3 linked regions of the Arabidopsis thaliana genome follow. The protein of the gene in region 3 purifies or fractionates together with the protein of the main gene of each other region. This does not show direct contact. Each region holds a gene or a part of one and is shown on either strand. Other genes may lie near its edges.

The links. The genes of interacting proteins can lie anywhere in the genome.
Region 1: the proteins of SDH5 (region 3) and AT5G12040 purify together in Arabidopsis thaliana (affinity purification with mass spectrometry, with the first as the bait; one large-scale study listed by BioGRID). This does not show direct contact.
Region 2: the proteins of SDH5 (region 3) and CYTC-1 purify together in Arabidopsis thaliana (affinity purification with mass spectrometry, with the first as the bait; one large-scale study listed by BioGRID). This does not show direct contact.

Annotation. Positions count from the first base shown.
Region 1 is NC_003076.8:3,883,018-3,888,577, forward strand, and holds AT5G12040 (Nitrilase/cyanide hydratase and apolipoprotein N-acyltransferase family protein), read left to right. Parts: upstream 1-1,931; 5' UTR 1,932-2,144; coding exon 2,145-2,405; intron 2,406-2,491; coding exon 2,492-2,608; intron 2,609-2,757; coding exon 2,758-2,982; intron 2,983-3,305; coding exon 3,306-3,399; intron 3,400-3,756; coding exon 3,757-3,831; intron 3,832-3,946; coding exon 3,947-4,025; intron 4,026-4,118; coding exon 4,119-4,134; coding exon of another isoform or gene 4,135-4,152; exon of another isoform or gene 4,153-4,342; coding exon 4,343-4,423; intron 4,424-4,512; coding exon 4,513-4,595; intron 4,596-4,676; coding exon 4,677-4,755; 3' UTR 4,756-5,060; downstream 5,061-5,560. Other genes in the region: HSP17.6A (heat shock protein 17.6A), read right to left, coding at 1,197-1,667. UniProt on the Arabidopsis thaliana protein: Omega-amidase involved in the metabolism of asparagine. Probably also closely coupled with glutamine transamination in the methionine salvage cycle.
Region 2 is NC_003070.9:8,077,680-8,081,074, reverse strand, and holds CYTC-1 (CYTOCHROME C-1), read right to left. Parts: upstream 1,789-3,395; 5' UTR 1,692-1,788; coding exon 1,580-1,691; intron 1,564-1,579; exon of another isoform or gene 1,101-1,563; coding exon 967-1,100; coding exon of another isoform or gene 963-966; intron 888-962; coding exon 789-887; 3' UTR 501-788; downstream 1-500. Other genes in the region: AT1G22850 (SNARE associated Golgi protein family), read left to right, coding at 50-160, 357-404; AT1G22830 (Tetratricopeptide repeat (TPR)-like superfamily protein), read right to left, coding at 2,043-3,395. UniProt on the Arabidopsis thaliana protein: Electron carrier protein. The oxidized form of the cytochrome c heme group can accept an electron from the heme group of the cytochrome c1 subunit of cytochrome reductase.
Region 3 is NC_003070.9:17,392,947-17,401,423, forward strand, and holds SDH5 (succinate dehydrogenase 5), read right to left. Parts: upstream 4,318-8,477; 5' UTR 4,231-4,317; coding exon 4,116-4,230; intron 3,974-4,115; coding exon 3,869-3,973; intron 3,762-3,868; coding exon 3,451-3,761; intron 3,374-3,450; coding exon 3,188-3,373; intron 2,885-3,187; coding exon 2,828-2,884; 3' UTR 2,572-2,827; downstream 1-2,571. Other genes in the region: AT1G47410 (uncharacterized protein), read left to right, coding at 1,872-2,018, 2,140-2,562.

The sequences.
Region 1 (5,560 bases), on a different chromosome or scaffold from region 3:
CGCGGTCTTTAGAAGTTCTTCCGTATTGTTCGAGAAACGTCTTGGTCGTTCTGGTTTTTGTGAACTCTGTAACTCAGGTTTGATAAAATATGAGCCATAACTTTACAGAATTTTTAATATCTATATGGGCTTTTAAATTAGGAATATATCAAGGCCCATTCCATATGTGAAAATAGTTCATGATTCATAAGATTAGTGTTTTAGCAAATTAAAGAACAAATTTTGTGATTTAAGGAATCCGAACAATATTGCTCATTTTAAAGAATACATTCAACTGGAAAGTACATACAATTGCTGAAGACTTGGATTACAAGTGTACAACATGCACCTCAAGATCAGAAGTTCAAAGTCTTAATGATGGAAACAAGACTAAATTAGTATATGCTCTGGTTTCTGGTCAGAAAAATTAATGAAAGACCATATTTATTTTAGTGACCAAAGAAAAATACTATATATGTGGTAGCACTAACTCACTGAATACCACTAAATCGTGTATAACGACATTAATATAAGCTATTAAAGACGGTTACAAATCTGCACAAAACTTGATTTGTCTTAAAACTCAGTTGATGTTATTTGCATTCGCAAATGCAAATTTCATTTAAAAAATAATGTAGCAGATTGAGATATCAGACTTCGTATTATACTACAGATGTAGTAGCTGAAGATTCAGTTACGTTATCCAACATGAAAAAAGTACAAAGAGTTGTTTGGATTTTAAAATCAGAATAACAAAATTGTTTCCTTTCATCTAATACTTAAAGGATAAAATTGAATATGTAAGAGTTTTTGCAGATATAATAACACTGTGTTACTGATCTCATACCCATAAATTACTTCAAGGGACATAACTCCAAAAATATATTTTGCTGACTGCAGAGATAAGGGTGAAATGCAAATGTGGATTTGATGGCCAATGTGCTAAATAGCACCAATGATATTAGGAAAGGATGAACAGTAATAATTTCTGCAAAAACAGAGGAATGACCATTCGGTGTCTTTTTTGTTGTGGTCCTATTTTTGCCTCATAAGCATGGATGGTTCAAGAGAGCAAAAACTTCATTGATTTGAAGATTGAACACAAAGACAAATATGAACAGAGAAAACTATTTTTATTTCATTTTACAACGAACACCAAGAGGTAGTTGCTTATCGATTACATTCATTAAAACACAAAAACACGATCACAAACAAACTCAAGCGACTTGAACTTGTATAGTCTTTGGTTTCTTTGGCTCAGGAGGAGGAAGTTTCGGAATAGTCACTTTCAACACACCGTCATTACAAGCCGCAGAGATCTTCTCCAAATCTGCATTATCAGGTAACTGAAACTTCCTCATAAACTTCCCCATCCTCCTCTCCATCCTCACAAACTTCACACCTTCATTCTCCTTGTTGTCCCTCTGTCTTTTGCCACTCACCACAAGCACGTTCTCGTTCTCTATCTGGACCTGAATCTCATCTCCTTTGATTCCAGGCATGTCCACGGCGAAAACGTACGCATCCGGGTGCTCGATAACGTCAGCTGGTGTAGCAGCCATTGCCTTTGCGTCTCGCATGTAAGCTCTTGAAGGGTTGTTACGAGTCTTCTCGGTTTGTTCTTCAGGGGCTTCAAGCATGTCTTCGAGGATTGAAAATATTGGAAACCTTCCAAACTCCAAATCCATTCTTAGCTGTTGTGTTAACTTTCTTGCTTCTTGGCTTTTTCTTTGGTTTGATTGATTTTGATTTTGATGTAAGAAAGTATTAAATAGAAGTTGAGTTGGATAGTTCTAGAGCAATGTAGAGAGAGCGATTGTTTCGGTGTTATAGAACTTAAAAGCGCTTCTCTAACGTTCGAGAAACGTCTTGATCGTTGGAGAAGTGTAGATGGATATTTCTAGACGAATGTAGAGAAAAGCGATTGATTCGGTCAGGCCCAAGACCAATTCGTTTTCAGGCCCATATGTATTCTGTTTTGGATTTAGTAAGGATGTTAAATTTATCCGGTTTGGTACGATTTCATTCGAATTTAGTGTATAAAATTGATTGAACCGCGTCAATACGGTTGAAACGCAAACGCAGAGGATTCATGAGTCATGGCTTTTGTGAGGTGAAGTATCAATATCATCTACCTACCTATATGATCATCGGACTAAAGTGAAATGAAGTCAGCAATTTCATCGTCACTCTTCTTCAATTCGAAGAATCTTTTAAACCCTAATCCTCTTTCTCGCTTCATTTCTCTCAAATCTAACTTCCTCCCTAAATTATCTCCGAGATCGATCACTAGTCACACCTTGAAGCTCCCATCTTCGTCAACCTCAGCTTTAAGATCCATTTCCTCTTCCATGGCTTCTTCTTTCAACCCTGAACAAGCTAGAGTTCCCTCTGCTCTTCCTCTCCCAGCTCCTCCGTTGACCAAAGTTAGCTCCTTTCTTTTCATTTACCTTTGGGTTTTCAATCATTTCAGCTTTTGATTGATTTCTTCGTTCCATGGGTAATTTTGTAGTTCAACATCGGATTGTGTCAGCTATCTGTTACATCTGACAAAAAGAGAAACATCTCTCATGCTAAAAAAGCCATTGAAGAAGCTGCTTCTAAAGGAGCTAAGCTTGTTCTCTTACCCGTGAGTTTTTCTTCTTTGTATCTTAGCTCATAGCTCTTTGTGAGTTCAATTCTAATGTTCTGTTGCTCAAATGTGTAAAATTTACAAAAAGTATGAGCTAGTGGTATCGTCTCTATGGGGTTTAAAACCATTCAATGGGTTTGTTTCAGGAAATTTGGAACAGTCCGTATTCCAATGATAGTTTTCCAGTTTATGCGGAGGAGATTGATGCAGGTGGTGATGCTTCTCCTTCAACGGCAATGCTTTCTGAAGTTTCCAAACGTCTCAAGATTACAATCATTGGTGGATCTATACCAGAAAGAGTTGGAGATCGTTTGTATAACACTTGCTGTGTCTTTGGTTCCGATGGAGAGCTAAAAGCTAAGCATCGGAAGGTTAGATTTTTTGAGATTAAACTTTCATAGAAGAAATAATGAACTTTCCTCTGCTTTAGGCCATAGAATGAAAGATGCTAATCTTACTTCTAAAATCGTTGTTCATCTTTTATCATCTGTTTTTAGGATCTAATAGACTTAGAATCAGTAATTAGAATGATGTGGTAGTTATGTTCTGGTTCGAGTTCTTCCTCTATGATTCATAAGGACAAATTATGAGGCGAGATGGCCTTGACCGTTTTATGCTTATATTATCAATTCTCAGAACATCTTGTTTTTGATTGCTTGCACTTATTTGTGTTTGTACTTGTGTGTGCATACAGATACATTTATTTGATATAGACATTCCCGGGAAGATTACTTTTATGGAATCCAAAACTCTTACTGCTGGAGAGACACCAACAATCGTTGACACAGGTTATAATCTTGGTTTGCCAAATATAATTCCAGGTCATGCATAAACAATCATGTATCTTACATAAACTCATTGTGGTACTATCTAAAAATAATAATTTAGGATTAAGGATTTAAATTTCCAGTCAGATTTGGGATCTTCTTAGCTCAACAGTGAAATGATTCATTTTCATGCTGGCCTAGTGTTTATGAATAATAATGTTTTTAAGATCTTGCCAACTATTTTGACTGGGGAAATGTCTTTATTGAACAATCAAGTCATAGTAGGACCGTTCACATCACCTCTCACTTTCTAGTACTTATGAGAAATCTTTAACGCGGTGCAGCGCTTGAGAATGATAGTTTTGTTGGTTGTTGCAGATGTAGGGCGTATTGGAATAGGCATCTGTTATGATATCAGGTTCCAGGAGTTAGCTATGATATATGCTGCAAGAGGTGAGTCTTCATATCATAATGCTTTATCCAAATGGACTATCTGCTTCCTCTCTTTTTCGGGTCCATTACGTTTTAAAGAACCTCATCACCCACATGTTTACTTTAATCATATCAGGGGCTCATTTGCTGTGCTACCCGGGAGCCTTTAACATGACAACTGGACCATTGCATTGGGAATTACTACAAAGGGCCAGGTATGATTCACAGTCTACTACATTACGACTTTCTTGGCTTATTTAATCATGGGTAAATCACAATGCTCATCGATCTGTTTTGTTCCATTTCAGGGCTACGGATAATCAGGTACATGAACCAAGTTAAATACTTGTATTGATAGCCAAAAGAGAGATACAAGTTCTGACATTTCTTAATGAATTCATAGCAAACCTGCATTTTTCTTTGAGTTATCAATACAAGTATTATCTTCTGCTCTTTGGGGTTAGTTTTACTTAATTGACTGTTATCAAAGTCATGGACCGGTTAATAGAACTATGTATGCTACTTTCTCCAGTTATATGTGGCGACATGCTCACCTGCCAGAGATTCAGGAGCTGGCTACACTGCTTGGGGGCACTCAACACTCGTTGGGCCTGTAAGCACTAAACTTTTTCTGTGTTACTTGATTGATAATGAAGCTTTTAGCTGATCACTAAACTTTGAAACATATATATTATTTGACAGTTTGGAGAAGTACTAGCAACGACTGAGCATGAGGAGGCCATTATCATAGCAGAGATTGATTACTCTATCCTTGAACAACGAAGGTAATCACGGAAACACCAGAACTTTCTTGGTTTTTGATAGCGTGATCCGCTAACTGAATCTCGTTTTTTTTACCATCTTAGGACTAGCCTTCCATTGAATAGGCAGCGGCGGGGAGATCTTTACCAGCTTGTAGACGTACAGCGCTTAGACTCTAAATGAACGCAGCAGTAACTGTATATCTGAGAGATATTGCGAGTTGAGCACGATTTGGTTACTTACAACTTCATGCATGATCAGTCATTTCTCCACAACTTTGCTGAGATATGTAAAAGAATAAAAATCAAACTTTTGAGTTAAAATCGAACAAAGGCAAGTAAATTCTGCTTAGATAATGTGAACTCCACCCACTTGCCATGTGTTTGTTGTTTATAAACTTCAATGCATTCTGATAACAATGTAGACTTGTGATTCGCAATCAGAATAGCATTTGACTTTTTTATCAAAATATATACACTATTTTTGTGAATTTCTCAGTAAATGTCATTGTCTATGAAAAAAACAACTCATATCTTCATTCCACAACCATCATATTCAATATCGAGTACTTACTTAAACTAAAATTGTTATAACTGGTTCTTCAAATGTTCACACCTACTCAAAACGTTTCATCACATAACTCAAGTCAAGTCAAAGATAGCCATGGTATATTTTGCTACACATCAAGATTTGTAATATGCAATGTAATTTGTTTTAGATGAGAAGAAGAAAAGAGTATATAGAGTATGCAGATAGGTTCATCCACAAGCACAAGTGGGATATAAAAGATTTGAAAATGAAATAACATATAAACTTTTGTCAGCGGCCTCAACATGATTTGAAGATCCGTGGTTATTGTTGAATGATAAATGACCGGACGACAAAATGCAGTTACAACAGCAGAAGCCTTACAAGATTCACCACAGTGTGTAGTGGTTTCGTCTTTGGAGAAGACACGTGGACCAAGCCTATAGGGTAAAGAAAGACG
Region 2 (3,395 bases), 9.3 Mb from region 3:
AAGCATCATAAAATCATCAAATGACAATCTTCTGTCTATGTCGCTTCAGCAAGAAGAATCTAATGTTGGCTTGCCTGGAGGAAACGGCCAGCTTTTAACTCTCGGGGTGGGTCTGTTGGTTACTGCATTGGCTGGAACATATGTGACAAGCCTTGCAAAGGTAAACTCATACTTGTTTACTTCTTTTCTTTCTCTGTTCTGCGTTATATTTGCCTCCCACTTCTGATATCAAACCAACTGGTTCAAAGCTTCGTAGCATATAAGCTCAGAAAAGTCCCACATTTGGTTGAAACTTAAAAGATGTAAAGTGAAATGAATCTGTCTCATGTATATCTTTTACTTGCCGTGTGTTGCAGGATGCTATAAAGGATATTGATGATGATGAGAAGAGAGATGCAAAGTAGGAAACAAGCCAGCGATTGGATAATGGTTTTGACTCTCTAGGATTTGTAAAACGCCAACAGAGTATCATGTATCAACGTTAAATGTATTGCTCCATTATTGTTAATAGTTGATATATAATTCGAATCTTTTTTGTCCTTCAAATTTAAGCACCAATAATAAGTGAGAAAATGCTTTCTAGACAAAAAAAAGGAAAATGAGCCTCAGAAAATCAAATGTACTCGATAAAGTGAGCCTCAGCACACATTACAGCCAAATTCCCACCAAGAACGTAATTGATGATAAACAAAAAAAGTTTGAGATTTTATTTGGCAAAAGAATATAGCAAAGTAAAAAAGCCTCATCTGAGAGAGACTTAACAACTCAGAATCAATCCACCATCAGATTCACTTAGGCGCAGTAGATTCCTTCAAGTAGGCGATGAGATCAGCACGGTCTTGCGGCTTCTTTAGCCCAGGGAACACCATCTTGGTACCTGGTATGTACTGCATCATATAAAAAGGCCATCAATCTCAATGTTAACAACAACAACTCATGAAACAATCATGACATGATTATACAAACCTTCTTGGGGTTGAGCAAGTAATCGTACAAGGCCTTCTCTTCCCATTCCACAGCTTTGTTCTTGTTAGCAGCAGAGTAAGAGTAACCAGCAGTTGTACCAGATTGTCTTCCAAATAGACCGTTTAGATTGGGTCCTATATTAAAACAACAAGGTCAAGTGTTGAGCAACAATGTGACGCAAATCACATTCTACAAAAGCTACGAAAACAATAGAAACCATTGAGCAACAGTGTTTTCTAATTTCACGCAATTTCAAGAAAAAATGAGAATCTGTGACGCAACTAGCTCAAATCATTGTTGTATCATTACTTAGAATTCGAGAATCAAGTTCCACAAAAATGCGAAAAGTTGTATATAAAAACCTCAGAAATTCGTCACATGCATTGAGCTGAAGATTTAAGGATAAACACGAGTAAGACATCGAGGTTATTGGATCAGATCTATGATCTAATCGAAGAATCCGTTAACCAGATCACATCAGAGATTTTTGATTAACATGAACAAATCGATTATAAAGCGATGTAAAACAAAGGCCCGATAAAAATTCAGATAAATTGCGAAAATCAACCATAGAAATAGAATTCAAGAGTGAGAGAGATCGATGAGTGAAAACCTTGTTTGTGACCGGCGCCTGCTTCGACGGTGTGACACTGAGCACACTTGGTCCTGAAGATCTTCTCACCGGCCTTGGCGTTTCCTGGTGGTGCTTCATCAAACGACGCCATTTTTTTCGCTTGAGCTACGCGATCAGGAACAACAAGAGAAAATGATTACGGAACTCTCGTTTCTCTGGAGCTTGCCGAAGTTTCCTTAGGGTTTCACTGTGGAAAAAGTGACCTCTCTTAAAAAAGCAGTATCTCCAATCTTAATGGGCCCTTAATGGGTTTAGGTGGGCTCATATTTATTTCATATATAATGCTGTTTATGCTTGTTACTCATACTTGCGAAGGACCATCCCCTAGTTCATGTAAACTTATGTTTACAGGAAATCATGCAATTAAAACTTGTTGTATATAAGATTTATGTACAAATTGATTCTCCAGTTTGATAAAATATTTCTATCAGAATTTGATTCTTTATCCTACTTCTACAAGACGTTCTTCATCTGAACTTTGCTCCTGATTGATGACAGAATCATCGTTCATCGGCTTATTATTCTCTCCATCTAACTCCGAATCTGTTTCCATCAAAGCAAACTCATGAGCCTTTTGCACGCCCAAGTCACTCAGTAAAGTCTTCACCGTTACAAGCTTGCTCCAAGAACCAGTTACTGCATACATATCTGCAAGCAACATATAGTGACCTAAGTGTTCTGGCTTTGTTTCTAGTAGTAACTTATCTGCAGCCCACTCCCCAATGTTTGTGTTCCCGTGGATGAGGCACGCTTTCAGTAGAGTAGCACACATAGCACTTGATGGCTCGTAAGGTATTGTATGGAATATATCTCTGGCTTTATCCAGGTAACCTGCTCTGCAATAAAGATCAACCATACAAGAATAGTGTTCAAGGCGAAGGCGTATACCAAACACATGCTCCATCTTCGTAAACAACCAGTGTCCTTCACGCACTAAATTGGAATGGCTGCAAGCTGATAAAACTGCAACCATAGTTACATGATCAGGTTTGATACCGGATCTGTCCATATCCTTGAACCATGCCAATGCGACTTCTCCTTTACCCAGCCTGCCATATCCATCGATCAAAGAAGTGTATGTCACTTTGTCCCTCTTCCTCATCGAATCAAATACTCGCTTTGCAGCTATGATTTCACCGGATTTTGCATACATATCGACAAGGGAGTTCCACAGGATTAAACAGTCCTTGTAGCTTTGGCGTCTCAGGATGTAGCAGTGAAACTCTTTCCCATGTTGCAGGTTTCCCACCCGAGCAAAAAGAGGGAGAATGCTAGCAAGCGTAATGTGATTTGGGTGAAATCCAGAGAGCAACATCTCCTTGAGCAGGAAAGAGGTTTCTTCTGATCTCTCGTTGTATGCAAAACCGGAAATGATAGAATTCCATGTACTCAAACTATTTGCTTCAACCTGCTGAAACACTATAAACGCGTGCCTAAGATCACTGCATCTTGAGTACATTGTGATCAACGAATTCCGAACATTGTCAATATCATGGGAAAAACTACAACTACGGATCACAAGGCAATGAAATACTTTCCCCCACTTTAACGCTCCAATGTGTGAGCATGCCTTTAAACCATTAATCATAGCTACAGAACCTATTCTTACATTGCAATTTCTCATCCCAACAACACAATTCAAAGCCCCTATGTAATTTCCTGCCTCCAAACAACCTCCAGCTATTGTGTTCCAAGTTACAATACTCGCTTCGACACCAGAGAGATACATTCTATCAAGAAGCTTAAAAGCTTCCCCTAACTTTTCTTCTGAAGTATAACAGTTGATTATTGCATT
Region 3 (8,477 bases):
GCATTTTATTCTCTCAAGCTCACTTGATTTCACTTTATTTATTTTAATGAAAAAATAAACGAAAATAGTGCAGTATCATTACATATAGCCTGTAAATTGTGATGATCATGGTAGTTAAAGTATCATGATACCATTTAAGGAGTCTTCTAGAAACCAAAACTTCGTTTTGCCAAAAAAAAACAAAAAACAAAATCCTTCTTTAAAATTTTAAAATATAATATTAAAATTAAAAAAATATTTTGATAAATCGAATTACAATATTATTTAATTTTAAATGCACAATTGATACAAATATATAAATTAACATATTATGCTTGTCACACTTGTTTAGGTTTCACACGTATTGATTATCAGTTTTTTTGTTGTGCCAAAATTCTTTAAAATCTTCTCTTTACAATATCTTTTCATTAGTTATATGCGAGTGATGAACATAAATAATTCTTTTTACTTTGCCAAAAAAAAATAAAAAAAAATCTTTTTACTGCAGTGATAAGAGTTATGCAATTTTTTTTCTATATATGTAAATTTTAGAGTTCATCTTCTAACCATCACAATAATTGAAGATAAATCAAAATTCAAAATATCTATCTAACATTAACATAGATTGGAATGTTATATTGTACACTAAGTATATATATAGTATAACTTACTATAATGATCTAAATTCAGGATTGTAATAAACTCAAAAGTCAAAAAAGTATGAAAAGACGTACTAATAATATTCACGTAGTTTAATTAGATGAATCAAGTTTTATACAATAAGATTTACTCAATTAGCTTGGGCCTATGATAGAGAAATATTGTAACAGCAATATGGTATGTTTTGATTCAACAACACCAAATTACTAAAAGAAATGGCCCAGTCAATTACAAATCGAGAAGGCAATGGTATGATTATATATAGATGGTCGTTGTAAATTTAATAATGTGGAAATTAAAGCAAATAAATCAAATTTTGGGATAAAAGTAAGGCACGGCCAAAAAGGAGTTGGGTTCTTGGTGTAATTATGACTTTGTGGGAGCATGTGAATGAAATAATGGTGGTCATAGATTTAGAGCTTTCCTAAAAATAAGATATATATGATGTCAAAAGAAAAACAATAGATCTATACAGAATCCAAAGACATTTCAGAAGAAAAACCATTGATAAACATACACTAAGCTTCTGTTATATATTTTGCTAAAGTACAGTTAGCTTCTCGAGGATGTAAAAATGTCCTAATTCTTGAAGGAATATAGATTACAAACAAAGATCCTGAAGGTATGTTTCTTTTAATTATTGAATATAACCACAATATCAAAATGTTGAAGAAGGTTAAGATAAGGTCGATTTCTTTGTTTTACACGTATTTTATTGGTGAGTAAGAAAAATTACAAAATGTAAAACAGAAAAGAAGATCTATACTATCTTTGCGTGTCATGATAACGTTAGTTTGGTGCCATGTCTTATAGTTTCTCTATCACTTTCATGTATTTTGCTTCAAGTAAGATATGATATTTTTTCAACATAATCAACTTAGAACTTTTTTGAGATGAATTCGTAAAGTTGTTTTCTATTTACTTAACCCTGATTTGTCTTAATATCCGGAAGCCTAATTAGGATGATTTTGTACTTTCAGAATCTAATCTTGGTCAATGGTCGTAATATTTCTTTAATTGTTCATCAGATAATAAACAGTAGAAAGGTATGAAAACGAAAGTGGTGTTGCGTGCATTGAAAAGAACACAAGTGATGTTAGATAAACTGTCATTGTGCAGCTCAGTTTTGTCTATAAATCCTAAACTCAGAAATTATCTAGAGATTTCAACCTTTCACTCATTTGTATTCTATTACAAATCATTGAGTTTAGAAATAAAATTTGCAGCTGAGAATGGTATTTTGCGGTGACGACGTTGCCACAGGGGTGAGAGATGCTATCACTTATTGTTACAGATGCAAAGGCAGAAAAGTTACACTTTCTGATCACGAAGCCGATGATGATAACAAGCCTATCGGGGATTTTGACTACGACCATGAAGTAACTAGAAAACTCATTCATTTGCCTTTGTTTTTCATTTTTGCTTTCTTCTATAACTATTCTTCGACAACACGAATTACACGAATTACACAACCTTTCGTTTTGTGATTGTTGATTTCAGGTTGTTGTTTTCGAGATCAGAAGTCGGGCGATGGAAAAACTAAGGAAGAAGCGAAGGACAGGAATGGAGGGGCTAACTTACAAATTCGTAAAAGAATATGACATCGAAAACGAATTCTGTTCGGTAAGAAGCAGTTTTTCGGAATGTTGCATGAGTGATATCAGCATAGAAGGATACATGACAGCGAAAACTGAGTTCTCAAGGAGTTCAAGCTTGAAAGGTTTAGAGCTGGAGAATCAATGGAAGATGCATTACGTTAATGAAATTAAGAAAGGATCAGTGATTCAAGAGTTCTGTCATTGCCAAGGATGGCCATTTGGATTGGGACGAAAAGCTGCGTTGCTTCCACCGCTTCCAAAGTCACCTGCAGAGTCATGGTCTTGGAGGAAGCCTACAAGAGTTACTCCAGTTCCTTTTGTTTGACAAAAAGGTAGCTCAAAATATTGAATCATTATAAACAAAAGATCTCTCATAAAAGGAAACAGTAACAAATGAACACAAATTCATGTGAGTTTATTTTTCAATTGGTGTTAAGCTCTAAATTTTAAAGCTTCATTTGGAGGAAACAATGAACAGACTCACCTGATATGTCTTTTGGTCAGATTGACCTTTATTATGTGCTAAGACAAAATAACGCAATAACAACATAACAAGCTTCGCACGTAATTCTAGATCTTCTCTTTTTGTTTTAGGCCCTTTGCTCCACGTAAGATCCCGAGAGTCCTGAGGTTCCAAGAACAGTAACCTACAAAAATATTAAAACAAAGCGTTAGCAAGACAACTACTGGTTCAGTGGTTTCGTCTAAATGAAAACACTAGTTTCTGCCAAATTCTATATGATTTCATTCGGATAGCTAGCCTAAAAGATGCATAAGGTTGAGAAAAAAAGATCACATATAGTACGAGTGAGACTTTGGAGGACAAGTTGAAATCGTAAATAATTATGCAAACTCATACTTTAATCAGGCTTATTCTAGCTTATATGATGCTGTCAAAGATGCAAATCAACAGAGTACGTGTTTTGAGAGTATAGATCAGATTTGATTACCTTTCCCCATTCAGAACCAAGCCCGCTGCATCTCATCTTCAAGTGGATCATCTTAGTCCCCAACTCCATCTCAACCTTCTTCTTCAAGTAGACTTCTTCAGGTTCAAAGGAGTCTAGATACTCAGCATACCTCTGATAAGCAGTACGCAGCGCATCGGTTATATCATTTGGTAAAGGCTTCACACCCTGCACACAATACAACTAAAACATCAAACAACCAGAAATCAAGAAAATGGTTTAGTGAAGGAAACAAACAAACAAACCTCCCCACTCATTCCAATGCTATCATCGATTTCCATCTTAATCGAAGTGAGAATCCCACCAAATTCCTCTACAGCTTCAGCTGCTCGGAACACATTTTTCAAAGCCTCTTGCCCTGCCTTGTCATCTGTGTTTTTCGATATCGCGGTTTTAGCATCTTTAACAACAGCAGAAGGAAGCTCAGCCCAATCTGCAGCCATCAAGTCTTTGAATGCATTCAGAACATCAGAGTCTTCCATTTCAGGCATGTGAGAAACATCTTCGCTAAATCTCCGGACCTGTCCCATTCCCATTGCACGAGGATACTGCAAATCTGCGTATTTTTACAGTCAAATACGAAGTGCACGCACAAATAGACCTCTCAAAACACCTAATCAATGTATCTACAAAATGCATTCGTAAAGAAATCAGGAGGCTCACCACGAGAAACACTTGCATACGAAATGAACGAGCCTTTATTGATCTGAACATCACCAATCACAGAAGCGTTCGGAGCCACAGTAATCAACGTCCGATGCCTCGACACTGAAAACAAACCACAAATTTCTCAAATCAAAGTTTTCAATCTAAACTACAAATTTCTCGAATCAAAAGGAAATTATTGATACAAATGAGAGATACAGAATTGGATCTAGGGTTCAATAGAGCGAAGCAAGTGGAAGCTTACGATGTTTCTCGATGTGGTGGCTTCCTTGAAGAAGAGAACCAACGCGAGCTTGGGCTTGGGCAGTTCCACGAATCCGATTACCCACAGTGTGAATCGCTCGTCCTAGGGTTCCCATTTTTCTGATTTTTCCGATTACCCAAAGAGAGAGACAGAGAGGGACAGAGAGAGCTTGTTTTGAAGAAGAGAACCAACGCGATCGCTTTATTCAGTTCGTTGATTTTGTTGTTGACCTCCAAACCATATCAAATTGAACCAAACCGAAACTTTTTAATCTAAGCTTAACCAAATAAATAGGGCTGGCTGAAAATAACCGAAATACATACAGAACGGTTCGCTTGTCGGTTTTTTTCCTTAAGGTTCCGATTGCTAAAATTGCATAATAGCATAATGACATAAATTGTAGAATAAAAATTTCGCAGAATGAAAATTTGCAAACTAAAAAATCGTCGAATGAAACTAATTTTAAAATATATTAATTGGATATATTTTGCAAAATGACAAATAAATATTTCAAGAAGATCATGAGACTGCCACAAACCGAAGAACACATAGGACGACACGAGGCAAATGAATGGCTGGAAGCAAACAGTTATACTGAAGGCACAAGAGGTAGTCAAACAAACAAGAATACGGTTCATGACAGAGGTTCTCAATGGCGACCACCACCAAGAGGATGGGTGAAGTGTAATTTTGACAGTGGCTTTATGCTGGGACGATCCTTTACAAATACGGGATGGTTGATAAGGGACGATGAAGGAAAGGTTTTAATTACAGGCTGTTGAAAACTACCATCGACTAATTCACCTTTACAGGCGGAAGCTACCGGGTTGTTACATGTCCTTCAAGTAGTTTGGGCTTGTGGAATAAAAAATGTTTGTTTTGATGGAGACAACCAAGAACTTATAGCAACTATCAATAATGGTGATGATCATTCTCTGATAGGGGCTCTTCTTTACGATATTCGTCATTGGATGGCCAAACTATCCAACGTATCTCTACTCCATGTCAATCGTGAACGAAATAGTGCTGCAGATAAGATGGCTCAATACGTTCTGTCTACTACTACTCTGTATCAGTTCTTTATTGTCCCTCCTCGTTTCTTACTTTCTTATTTGTATCAACCTTATACAATTTAATAAAGTTGAAGTTGTTAAAAAAAAAATATTATATTAACAATATATATGTAGATATATATATATATATATAAACTTAATAAAAAATAATGTTTAAAACAAATTAGTATATTTGAGTAATTTTCGATACTAAAAATGTAAGATAATTAAAATTTATTAAAAAGTTATGAAAATGTTTTTTTGTATTACTAATGATATAATTTTGTGTAAACTATGATACTTTTTTTTTTACAATTGCTAATATTTGTATGCATAGAATAATAAGATTATATTATGCAAATAAATAATTATATACACACTTTTTGGCATAATGAATTTTTACTTAAAACAAAAATACAAATCTTACGTTTTTGCGTTTTCTAATACAATTATGCAGATTTTTTTTATTGGCAAATTTTCTGCATTATGTGTGTTACCAATAAGAGCCTAAATTGTTTTCAGATTATCGTATAAGAGTTAAGATCAATGTAAAAAATAACACAAATCGATATATTAATTAAATAATAAATTTTTGAAAATTTTATGTAAATATATGGTCTCATTAATATCATAAATTAATAATTGTAAAAGTTTTTTTAAATATATATATGTTATACGGAAGAAAAATAGTGAAATATGAATTTGCTAATATTTTTATTTTTATTTATATTAATTCTTGGTAAAGTTTATTTAATATCTTTTTACTACATCGAAAACGTTCTTTTTTTTATTTTCTAAAGTTAATAATTTATTATTATTTGAGGTTTAACGTTACCATCGTAAAGTTAAAAATATAATGATTATAAAGAAGAAGAAAAAATTCAGACATAATATTTTTTTTTAAATTACAAAATTAGTCTAAAATCTCTACAAATTAATAATTATTAATTTATCGATAAATTAATACTTTTATAAATTAATAGAATTTCATAGTTCAAACATTTATATATGTGATAAAATTACAAAAATGAAGTAGCAATATTTTTGCATGGCCAAAACAAATAATAAAAAAAGATAGCACGGCCATGATCGAGGAGATTAAAATACATCGAACGTAACGTTGGATGCATTTACAAGTGCCATAGCATGACTTTCTTGGGACGAGGATCATGGATGAATAAATATACTTGTTGAACAACATATGTTATGTTGCACGAGCAAATTAATTTCACATGGTGACGTTATCGACTAATGATGACAGTAGTCTGTTGAAGTGAATCAATGAGGTACTGAAAAGTCATAGAACGTGGAAAATTTACATTTATCTTGTCTGCTAGAAACAATTGTATAGAGTTTTCCAAATTTGAAAATCAACATGTGAAGAAATTTTTGTTGATCTTCAGTCTTACAAATTTTTGGATAGCTGCTTTCCGGCTGCCCAAAGCATGCTTTCAAGAAATAGATAAACTGTGTTCAAGTTCTCTGTGGTCAAGACCATCGATGAACCCTTGAAAGGTAAAAGTGGCATGGACTGAGGTCTGCACACCAAAGAATGAAGGTGGACTAGGGCTGCGGTCGATTGAAGAAGCAAACAAAGTAAGTGTATTAAAGTTGATATGGCGTATACTGTCGGCTAAAGGATCTTTGTGGGTTGAATGGGTAAAGAAATATTTCATAAGAAAAGGCTCCTTCTCGGCAGTAAAAGACACTACAACTTGCGGTTCTTGGATATGGAATATAGAGGGATAGCACAACAGTTCTATAGAGTAGAGGTCAAAAATGGAGAAACGACCTCATTTTGGTTTGATGAATGGAGTAATATAGGCTGTCTATATGAAAAACTTGGGATAAGAGGATGTATTGACTTGGGAATCTGAGTTACTGCAACTGTGGGGGAGGTAATGTCCATGAATCGAAGAAAGAAACATAGGCAGGACCTCTTAAATACGGTTGAAAACGCTATCAAAAGCCAGAAACCTGCACAACAAAATGATGAGACTGATATCGGGCTATGGAAAGGGAGAAATGACCATCACCGAAACGTTTTTAATTCGAAAGAAACGTGGATGCAGATACGTAACACTAGGCCATTGATGGAGGATTACAAAGGAATCTGGTTCCCCTACTTGACTCCAAAATACTCCTTCATCACTTGGTTAGTCGCAAAAAACAGAGTAACAACCGGAGCTCGGATGCTCAAGTGGAATAGACAAGCTGATTCAAGTTGCATCTTTTGCCAAGATCCTATGGAGACTTGGGAACATCTGTTCTTCTTATGTCCCTTTTCTTTTCAGGTGTGGCGGGAACTAGCAAAGGGGATTCTCACCACCGACTTCACAGCTAGCTGGAGAGACATCCTCAAGTTGATACAAGGAAATGATCTTGGCAAAACAAAGTGTCTCATCCTTCGGTACATTTTTCAGAATGCCATTCACTCTATTTGGAGAGAGCGAAATAACAGGAAACACAGTGAAGATCACTCAACAATTATGAGACTTGTAAAAATGATCGACAAAAACATTCGCAGCAGGCTAAGCACCATTCAGAGTGGAGGGGACTCAAAGTACGCAGGAGGCATACAATTTTGGTTTCAATCATGACAACAGTTTTAATCTATGAGTTCTTCCTATCATGATTTAAATTAAAAACAGTATGCACTTTGATGTAAACATGTTTATTTTTTCTTGAATATAATTTAATATTAAATTCAAAAGAAAAAAAACATGTGAAGAAATCTATAAATATAGGTTTTAAGAAACAAAGAAAAGCATAAGAAAGAGAGTCGTACGCCTACCAAAAAAAGAAAGAAAATCGTGAAGATGAGAGGCGTAACACCAAACTATTACCGTTCTTACACTTTCTTCTTCTTCGTCGATGTCTTATTAGCTCTGTTTCTTTATGTGTTCTCGAACAATACTCACTGTCAGCCCTAAAATTTGGGGGGCCTAAAAAATTTCTAAAAGGGAAAAAAAAAATTGGGGGCTTTTTTGTAAAGAAAAAATTCCCAAAATTTTGGGGGCGACAATCAATTGTTTCTCCCTATCAATACTTTGTCATGTACAGAAACTCTGACAATCTCAAGCAACCGAACTATTGTGTCTCCCGGTAACGTCTTCTAGCTAGGTTTCTTCAAAACCACAGCAAGCTCTCGAAATGGATATGGTTGGTATCTTGGGATTTGGTACAAGTCAATCTCTGAGAGAACTTATGGATGGGTTGCCAACAGAGACAATCCTCTTTCCAAATCCATTGGAACATTAAAGATCTCTTACGCTAAGATCATTCTCGTACTCCTGTTTGGTCAAAGAAT